Linked DNA regions of Daphnia pulex. The protein of the gene in region 1 purifies or fractionates together with the protein of each later gene. This does not show direct contact. Links are inferred from orthologs where the notes say so. Each region holds a gene or a part of one and is shown on either strand. Other genes may lie near its edges. The genes, in order: cell division cycle protein 123 homolog and eukaryotic translation initiation factor 2 subunit 2-like.

Evidence for each region.
Region 2: the proteins of cell division cycle protein 123 homolog (region 1) and eukaryotic translation initiation factor 2 subunit 2-like purify together in Homo sapiens (affinity purification with mass spectrometry; 4 studies listed by BioGRID and IntAct, counting the BioPlex papers as one, with this or other methods). This does not show direct contact. The link is inferred for Daphnia pulex from reciprocal best matches to the Homo sapiens genes CDC123 and EIF2S2.

What each region holds. Positions count from the first base shown.
Region 1 is NC_060019.1:12,366,334-12,370,856, reverse strand, and holds the start of cell division cycle protein 123 homolog, read right to left. Parts: upstream 3,122-4,523; 5' UTR 1,396-3,121; coding exon 1,156-1,395; intron 1,101-1,155; coding exon 1,005-1,100; intron 936-1,004; coding exon 822-935; intron 755-821; coding exon 634-754; intron 570-633; coding exon 296-569; intron 228-295; coding exon 44-227; 3' UTR 1-43. Other genes in the region: very-long-chain 3-oxoacyl-CoA reductase-B-like, read left to right, coding at 4,147-4,300. UniProt on the Homo sapiens protein: ATP-dependent protein-folding chaperone for the eIF2 complex. Binds to the gamma subunit of the eIF2 complex which allows the subunit to assemble with the alpha and beta subunits.
Region 2 is NC_060020.1:3,233,425-3,236,813, reverse strand, and holds eukaryotic translation initiation factor 2 subunit 2-like, read left to right. Parts: upstream 1-1,421; 5' UTR 1,422-1,561; coding exon 1,562-1,579; intron 1,580-1,636; coding exon 1,637-2,280; intron 2,281-2,342; coding exon 2,343-2,661; 3' UTR 2,662-2,732; downstream 2,733-3,389. Other genes in the region: cytoplasmic tRNA 2-thiolation protein 2-B-like, read right to left, coding at 1-111, 182-570, 637-842, 907-981, 1,043-1,110; uncharacterized protein LOC124192455, read right to left, coding at 2,899-3,273, 3,337-3,389.

The DNA.
Region 1 (4,523 bases):
CCATGAATACGTGAAACCACAAGATTTATACAACCAAAAATTGTCAGTCACTATCGGCATTATCTTCTTGGGTCCCTGATCGCAATTTCAGAAGGTCCATCAGTTTGAAAGGATCTTCACCCGACGTTAAATGGGCTATATCTTCCGGAACGCAATAACGACGGAGTGGATTGCTACGGATCCCTGATTCTTCGGGAATGAAGCGAAAATCGGGCGTAGCGCTAGCGCTGAGAATAAGAACAAATTGAATTAATTATAAGTTGTGACGATTTTAAAATCAAGCTGAAGTAATTACCAATCGGAAGGCGATGTTGTCTTTGAAGCCTCGCTTATCTGTAGCAAATCTTCATTCCAGTCGAACAACAAAGAGTCTGTGATAACTCCATAAGGATTAAAATCGATCAAAACAATTTTATCCTTTCGTTGTCGAAATACGTCCATCACATAGTTGTCGAGGTGAAATTTAGGACGGATCTGTTCTTTGAAAAAACTGACAATGTCACGAACTATGTCTTCTTTTTCTTTTTCAATGAAGGGAGAAAACTGAGTATCATCTCTCTGTGAAATTCCTAATTGACACAATTAGAATCAATGTTTTAAATTTGAAACATGATGTAAAACCACTAACGTTACCTATTAGATTTTTATTCTGGACAAAACAACGGAATTCATTCACAGGGTTTATTTCAACCCACTTTCTCAAAACAAGATTATACTTCACAGGAGTTTGATTGACATTTTGATCTTCACATTCCTGTAATAAAGTGGCTGATGAGTTTGTTGTATAAAGTCGCTGATTAATTGATGTTGAACAATATTACTTTGAATGGCTCAGTCAGATCATGAAGAATAAAATCAGAGCTTTTCAGCAGTAGATGTACATCAGCAGACATGTGACACTGAAGAGAATTATTTAATGCAATCCAAGCAGCATCCTGCAGAATTCATAATACCTCGATGATAATATGAAAATTTAAGTTAGAAATAAAAAATATTAACACAACCTTGGGAGAACTCCAGTTTAATTTTATAAAGGCTTTACCACCAAATTCAGCTATTGCTGTGGTAATCTCTTTGTCAATGTCTTCAAAATGTGGGGCCTAGAAAAGCGAGAATTATAAAATACAGAAAAACCAAAATGCTAATAATTAAAACCTCAAGTGTAGGTGTCTCGCTTTCTGCCTTAGCCCAACCTTCTTCATCATCTTCAGAATCACTGGAGTCATCACGGGAATATGTAAGCAACGCTTGATCGCTGCGCAACACCAAGTTATCGGCGAGCAGGTAGTCGACAAACTCTTGAGTTAACGGAATAATTTTGCTAGGAAACGTCACCTTCTTGAACAGTGGATACCATTCAGAAAAAGAACACGCCTGGATTTCGTGGCTTTTCATCCCTTAACTAAGTTCCACGCAGGTTTATCAGATACCAAATTTGTTCGTGTCAATCGTGTTCTTACATTTGCTTTCTAAATTCAGTAGACTAGCCATGCATATGCAGTAACTAATAGTAACCAAAACTGTCACTTGCTTTTGTTATTGGTCGATAACGCCATCTATGAAGAGAAAATTGAAACGAGGATCAGAGAAAATTTGGTTTTGTATGTGGGCGGCGCATTCCAAACGAGTCTCTCGGAAACGATAAAATATCAAATCAAACACAATCAAATTTATGAAGCAACCGTGCCCTGCTGGTCCTTCTTGGTTTAAAAGGAGTCACAACAATTGAAAAAATTGGTCGGAATACCGAAGAACAGCGAACACTAAGACAAAATCGATGTGAAAATTGAGCATGGACTATATCGCAAAATTCAATTCAATTCAAAAATTTTTTTAATGGTTTTTGAAATAACCGGTTTTTACATGTGCTTATGGGGTGATAGTATTCAATGAAATTAACGACGGTGTAGTCTGTCTAAGGTAGCGCTCAGAGTTAATAGTGTAATAACTCTTACAAAATTGAAGTGTTTTAAAAACAGCCATCTTTCTTCTGCCAGCTTGCCACCTTTTTTCTTTATCCTTGTATCAGCTTGCATAGTCAATCGAGAAATGTCTAGAAATTGCTTTCTCATCTACCGATAGTTTTGTCAAGTTCATAAATCCCCGTGTATCCGTGAATGGCGCTCAAGAGTCAAGCCTTATAAGAATAAGTGGTTTTAAAGGAACGTCATATGTGACGAGATAACGACACGCATACAGTAGCTCCAAACTCTAATAGGAGTTTAAACTTAATACTTTAGAACTTATTCAAGAATGGTGTTATTTGAGAACTGCCACGTGATTAAAAACAGATGCACCCCTGGTGCACTTCGTGAGACTTGTCAGGCGATTATTTCTAGCGCTAACAAATAATTTAAAAAAATTTTTATTAGAATTTTCAACCGCGATTATTTTTCAAATTTCGAATCCGGCAAGTCTGCCGGCCACATCCGCACAAGGCCATAATAATATGATGGTACAGCTGTTGGTTTTAGAGGCCATTTCTTTGTTTACAATTGTTCACAAGACGTAATCAGGGAACTTTATTGACGGGAACAAGGTTGATTTGGGGGAAAGAGTCCGAACGAGTGACCGCTAAGGTGGTCGCTATACTGCAGCATAACGTCAGCTTCATGCATTGAAATCGGGCTTTGCCCTATTGAATTAACTGAGATAGCAATTTAAGTTTCGCTGATGTGATTTTGGCAGCTAAAATTGGGAATGAATGCCCCAAAAAGCTGTCCGTTCATTGAAATTATCATGGCCATCACAAAATAATTTTGCCTTAAGGGATTTTCGGGGATTTTTCCCCGTCAATAAAGACAACAACTAGCGTGAGACTATAGAGCCTGAGACGGTAACACAGGATACCTTGAAAATATTTTAGCATTACAATTTTGAACGGCGAAAATGCAAGTCTGCCGTGGGGAAGAGCCACAGAGGAGGGTTCTCCTGCGGGAGGTATCGTAGACGCCTGAAGTCGGCGGGAAATGGCCCATAAATGACAAAAAATGTTTATCTGAATAAGATTTACACCATAAAAGAAGAACGTGAAAAGGTATATACTTAGATCACGCAGACCAAAAGAAAAATTCTGGTTCCTGATTTCGATCAAATATGTGTGTGTTTCATTAAAGAAATTATCCCAACTGTAGCAGATTCTCGGACTAGTATATATTAATTTTGTGAACGATTTCGAAAATGAAAATAAAAATTTAACTAAAATCATAAGCTGTACTAGCCTATAGCATTTTTTAAGGTAAATTACAAAAGCTTATTTTAATGTAGTAGTGCTGCCGAGTGCCGGCGGGTTTTATATTTTCGAGGAAAACGCAACGAAAGCGAATGTGTTGAGGTTCAACGACTGAAAATTTCGACTACAAGTTGTGTTAGTATAAGACTTCGCGGTTCCCTTTTTAGAATTTCAAATTTAAATTCTTAAAACCACCTGTACAGGCGCTGCAGTCTACCGTGCACTACCTTAGCAACAAATACTGCAGGTTACTTCCGTAATCACGTAAAACATGAAATTTTAGAAAGTGAAATTTAGATAGCTTATATTTCTCTCTTTAGACACTTCCAGGAGAAGTAATTTTAAATATAAAACATAAAATGACAAAAGATAGCTCAAAAAACTTAATAAACAAAATTTAATAGTTATATATAAGAGAGCAGAACTCGGACGCAGCCGGATAAATGGACGGAAGAGCAGATTCGGATAAATGAGAATTGAAGTAGAAATGTAGAATAGAAGATAAAGAATTAATATAGAGATGTATCAACCCACAAATAACATCTATAAACTGATTTCTATGATTGTGAGTTTAGTTGTATAACTCAGTTTCATCAGCAGAAAAATGCACACAGCTTCGCTTGGAAACCATTCGCGGATCCGGCAAGAATGTTTTGCTTCAACAGAAGTCTGACGTAACCTTGAATTCGCCCACAATGCCATGTAAAAGTGTCTTTTATAAGCATCTATGAAATAAAGCCAAATATAAAAAGACTGAAAATGAGATGGGAGTCTCCCAAGCCTTAAATTAGACAGCACCTCTTGAGTAACCGCCCCTTTGCTTGCTCTTTCCTTCCAGCTGTGTTTGAAAAGAAAAAACCGACCGGTGGACTGGAGTCTACCTTCAAACACCACGCAACTTTAGAATCGCCAAGATGACATTTTCCGTGCTCGAATGGATTGCCACTGTAATGTTATCACTGATTGCATTAAAATTTACCTGGAATGTTTGCCACTTTGTTTTTACTACGTTTCTTGGTTCCTGGCTCAAATTGAATTTAAATCTGATGGATTACGGACCCTGGGCAGGTTAGAAAAAACATTTTTTTTTTTTTTTTTTTGCTTCGAACTATTTCCGTGTTGTTCCTTATCAAAATTTATTTTGTATAGGAATTCCTTTATTAATTAGCTTTTGTTTAGAGTTGGTCGCAAGCTATACATAATTTTCGCTGATCCTGCCTAAGGCAATTTTGAACATGTAAAGCAGGGGCCTTGTCCTTGGTAAACGTTATTCCATATATATCGTGGAAAG
Region 2 (3,389 bases), on another chromosome or scaffold:
CAGGCACACTGAATCAACCCCTAAGAAATTTGCTAAATACGCCACTTCTTTATCGACAAACTCACGCATAGGTCGTAGAAAAACAGTACCGGTACGAGAATCCGTAAATCCCTGTAGTAAAGAAAAATGTAAAGAAATTAATTTATTCGTTATAAAGTAGAAAGAATCGACGACAACTTACTATCTCATGGGCAATCTGAGCCCCCCTTCCTTGACCGATAGCAGATAGAAGTTGGCCGGCCAATCTAGTAGCATTTGGACCTAAAAATACTTTTGCGTGATTCAATCGAGTAGCTAAAAGTGTGATCAAACGCTGTTTCAAACGAATTAGTAAATCTTCCTTTGCCGTAAGACTTTTCACAGAACCAAATAGCGTCTCCAGTTGGCTTTCATAAATAGAAGATTCGATTTGGTAAGAATTCATTTCCAGCTTCAAGTCATTGAGGTCTGGTGCTAAACAGTACTCAAGGCTACAGATGTAAACATCAAAGCCATTTTTTTTAGCCTGCTCAAGAACAAAATCAGTGGTTTCTTTCCTTTCGTGTTTGGAAAGATTCAAAATTAAACCTTCTAAGAAAGGTATAGAAACTAAGAATTATTCTGATTTCTTTATACTGGCAACTGAATTTGAATTACCGTCTATGTGTACTAAAGTAGGTTTGAACACCATTTTAATTTTTTTACTTTCTGAGAGATCCAAGCCTTCTTTAATAAGCTTTACCATGGACCCACTAGATAATCCTCCAGAATATGCCAATAAAACATGTTCATTATGTTTAAGAGCATGTGCTTTCCCAATCGTGGAACGGAATTTATGGACAGCATACTTCATAAAACAATCACTGAAACAAAAAATTTTTGATGATGAATTAAGAAGATTTTTTTTTAAGTTCGTTTTAGACTCACCGACAGTATGGATCTGTTTTACGTAGAAGAACTTGAGCCTTTAGTATGTTACATCTGCGGCATATTGCATCTGTACTAAATGACAATTTTTGTTTAAATGGTAGTTTCGGGTTACAAGCAAATAACCAAATCTTACACTGATAGTTTGGGAGTTGCGACCATGGTCTCTTCGGCTAAGTTTTCTTCGTTAATAGAACACATCATGAGCTTATTATAGAGGTAAGAGGTATGCTGATATAAAATTATCAAATTACTAAAAAATTAGATTGTCAAAACGAGGCAGAGTACGCATTTACACGATTACACGATCAAAATTCCCGAATCAGGAATCACGTTGCAGTAAATAACTAAATATGTCGTCTGCTAATTAACATGCTTGCCAAACAACTGACATTAATATTTTATTTTGATAATATCTTGAAATTTATTCTCTAACTTACATAAAATAATCAAAATACGTAACATATAAATTAAACTTCCAATTCAATGAGTTCTTAATGGCATTTATGTGGTTCACATGACGTAATGGCAACAGCTTAGCTGTGTGTAAAACAGCATTCAGGTCTGCCATTGCATCAGCTGGTATTCCGGCTAGACACGTTTACACCGTTATATTTGTTAATAACTTGTGCTACAAAATTAGTATTGTTTAATCATGGCAGAAGAAGAAGCAGTAAGTTATTGTTTAGAGTGTTTACCATGTCAAATTATATAAATTGTTTTTTTTTAGATTTTTGATCCATCTTTGAAGAAGAAAAAGAAGAAGGCCAAGAAGACCCCTTTCGATTTTGACGCAGCTTTAGCTGGTGGAACAGTTGGCAATGAGCCGGTTGAGTTAGAAGTAGGAAAGGAAAACGAAAATCCTGAAGAGGAAGAAGTAAAAGAAGTAGATGACTTAGATCTTGAAAGCTTTGGCAAAAAGAAGAAAAAATCTAAAAAGAAGGCTTTCCAACTTGAAGATACTGAAGTAGCCTCACCTGAAGTTGAAGGACAAGAAGGAGAAGCAGTTGAAGATCAAGAGGATTTAGATCTTGACTTTTCTAAAAGCTTGAAAAAGAAGAAGAAGAAGAAAAATACTGGAGCAGTTGAAGAAGAGAAAGACGAGAAAGGTAATAAAGAAATACATTATGGTTTGAATTCAAAAGTCAACATTTTTTACATTTGTTTTACAGAGGAAAATGCTGGAGTTGCCTGGACCACTGATGGAGATTACACTTATGATGAGCTTCTTAATCGAGTATTTAATATCATGAGAGAGAAGAATCCTGAAATGGTAGCTGGAGAAAAGAAAAAGTTTACAATGAGGCCTCCCCAGGTTGTGCGAATTGGAACCAAGAAAACGTCATTCGCGAACTTTTCTGAAATATGTAAAACGTAAGTTATATTTGTTACTCTTTTGACTACTTCTCTTACGACAGAATTATTTTGCTTCTCAGGTTACATCGACAACCTAAACACGTATTGGCATTTCTTCTGGCTGAGTTAGGTACCAGTGGGTCTGTTGATGGTAACAATCAACTCATCATCAAAGGTCGTTTCCAACAGAAACAGATGGAAAACGTATTACGTCGTTACGTTAAAGAATACGTCACTTGTCATACGTGTCGATCACCTGATACAATTCTTCAGAAAGATACTCGACTTTTCTTCCTCCAATGTGAAACATGCGGTTCAAGATGTTCTGTAGCCTCCATCAAATCTGGTTTCCAGGCCGTTACCGGAAAACGCGCGGCCATTCGAGCCAAAACGGCGTAAATTACTTCGTACAGAAAAAAATATGTGCTGTCTTTTGTCATTAATGAGAGAAATACATTTTCTTTCCTTTACCATTTTTTTCCAAGCAAAATTTCCATAATTTTAGGATAAGCACAATTGTTTTACGCCACAATTTTGTGTTTAATTACTTTCAATAATCTTAGTTACAACGAATTCTAGTGTGTTACAATTTTATATTTTATGAACAAATTTTTACTTCCACTCAAACTCCATGGTCTAAGGACATTCGACGGGAACTTCGTTCTGTTGCTCCGAAGTAACATCTTCGCCATTGCTAGCTTCGGTATCTATTATTTCGTAAGGATCACTGTCGCTTGTTGAATTTGATGCTTGTTTCAGAGGAGAGTCGCAATCACGCTGTATCAAAGAAATATGGTCTAGTTGCGATTCACGGTTGTCCTTAGTGGTTTCCAGTTGAACTGGAGAAAACCAATTTCCAATTATAGGAACCATCGAGAGTGTCAGCGTAGGAGGTTGTTCAGTGGCCTCAGAGCTCAGCAATCCTCCTCCATTCAGTTTCGACTGGCCTTTATAATGAGGAATATACAAGGCTAAGTCGTCGTCGTCAGCGTCCAGACGCTTCCTCTTGCGCTGCATTGTAAGAACATTAACTATAGACAAAGTATACTTGATTGACAAAATCAACAGACTTACTCCTGATCCTGGTACTGTAGCATTAGCTGAACCAGTCAAACGTAGCGGTAACC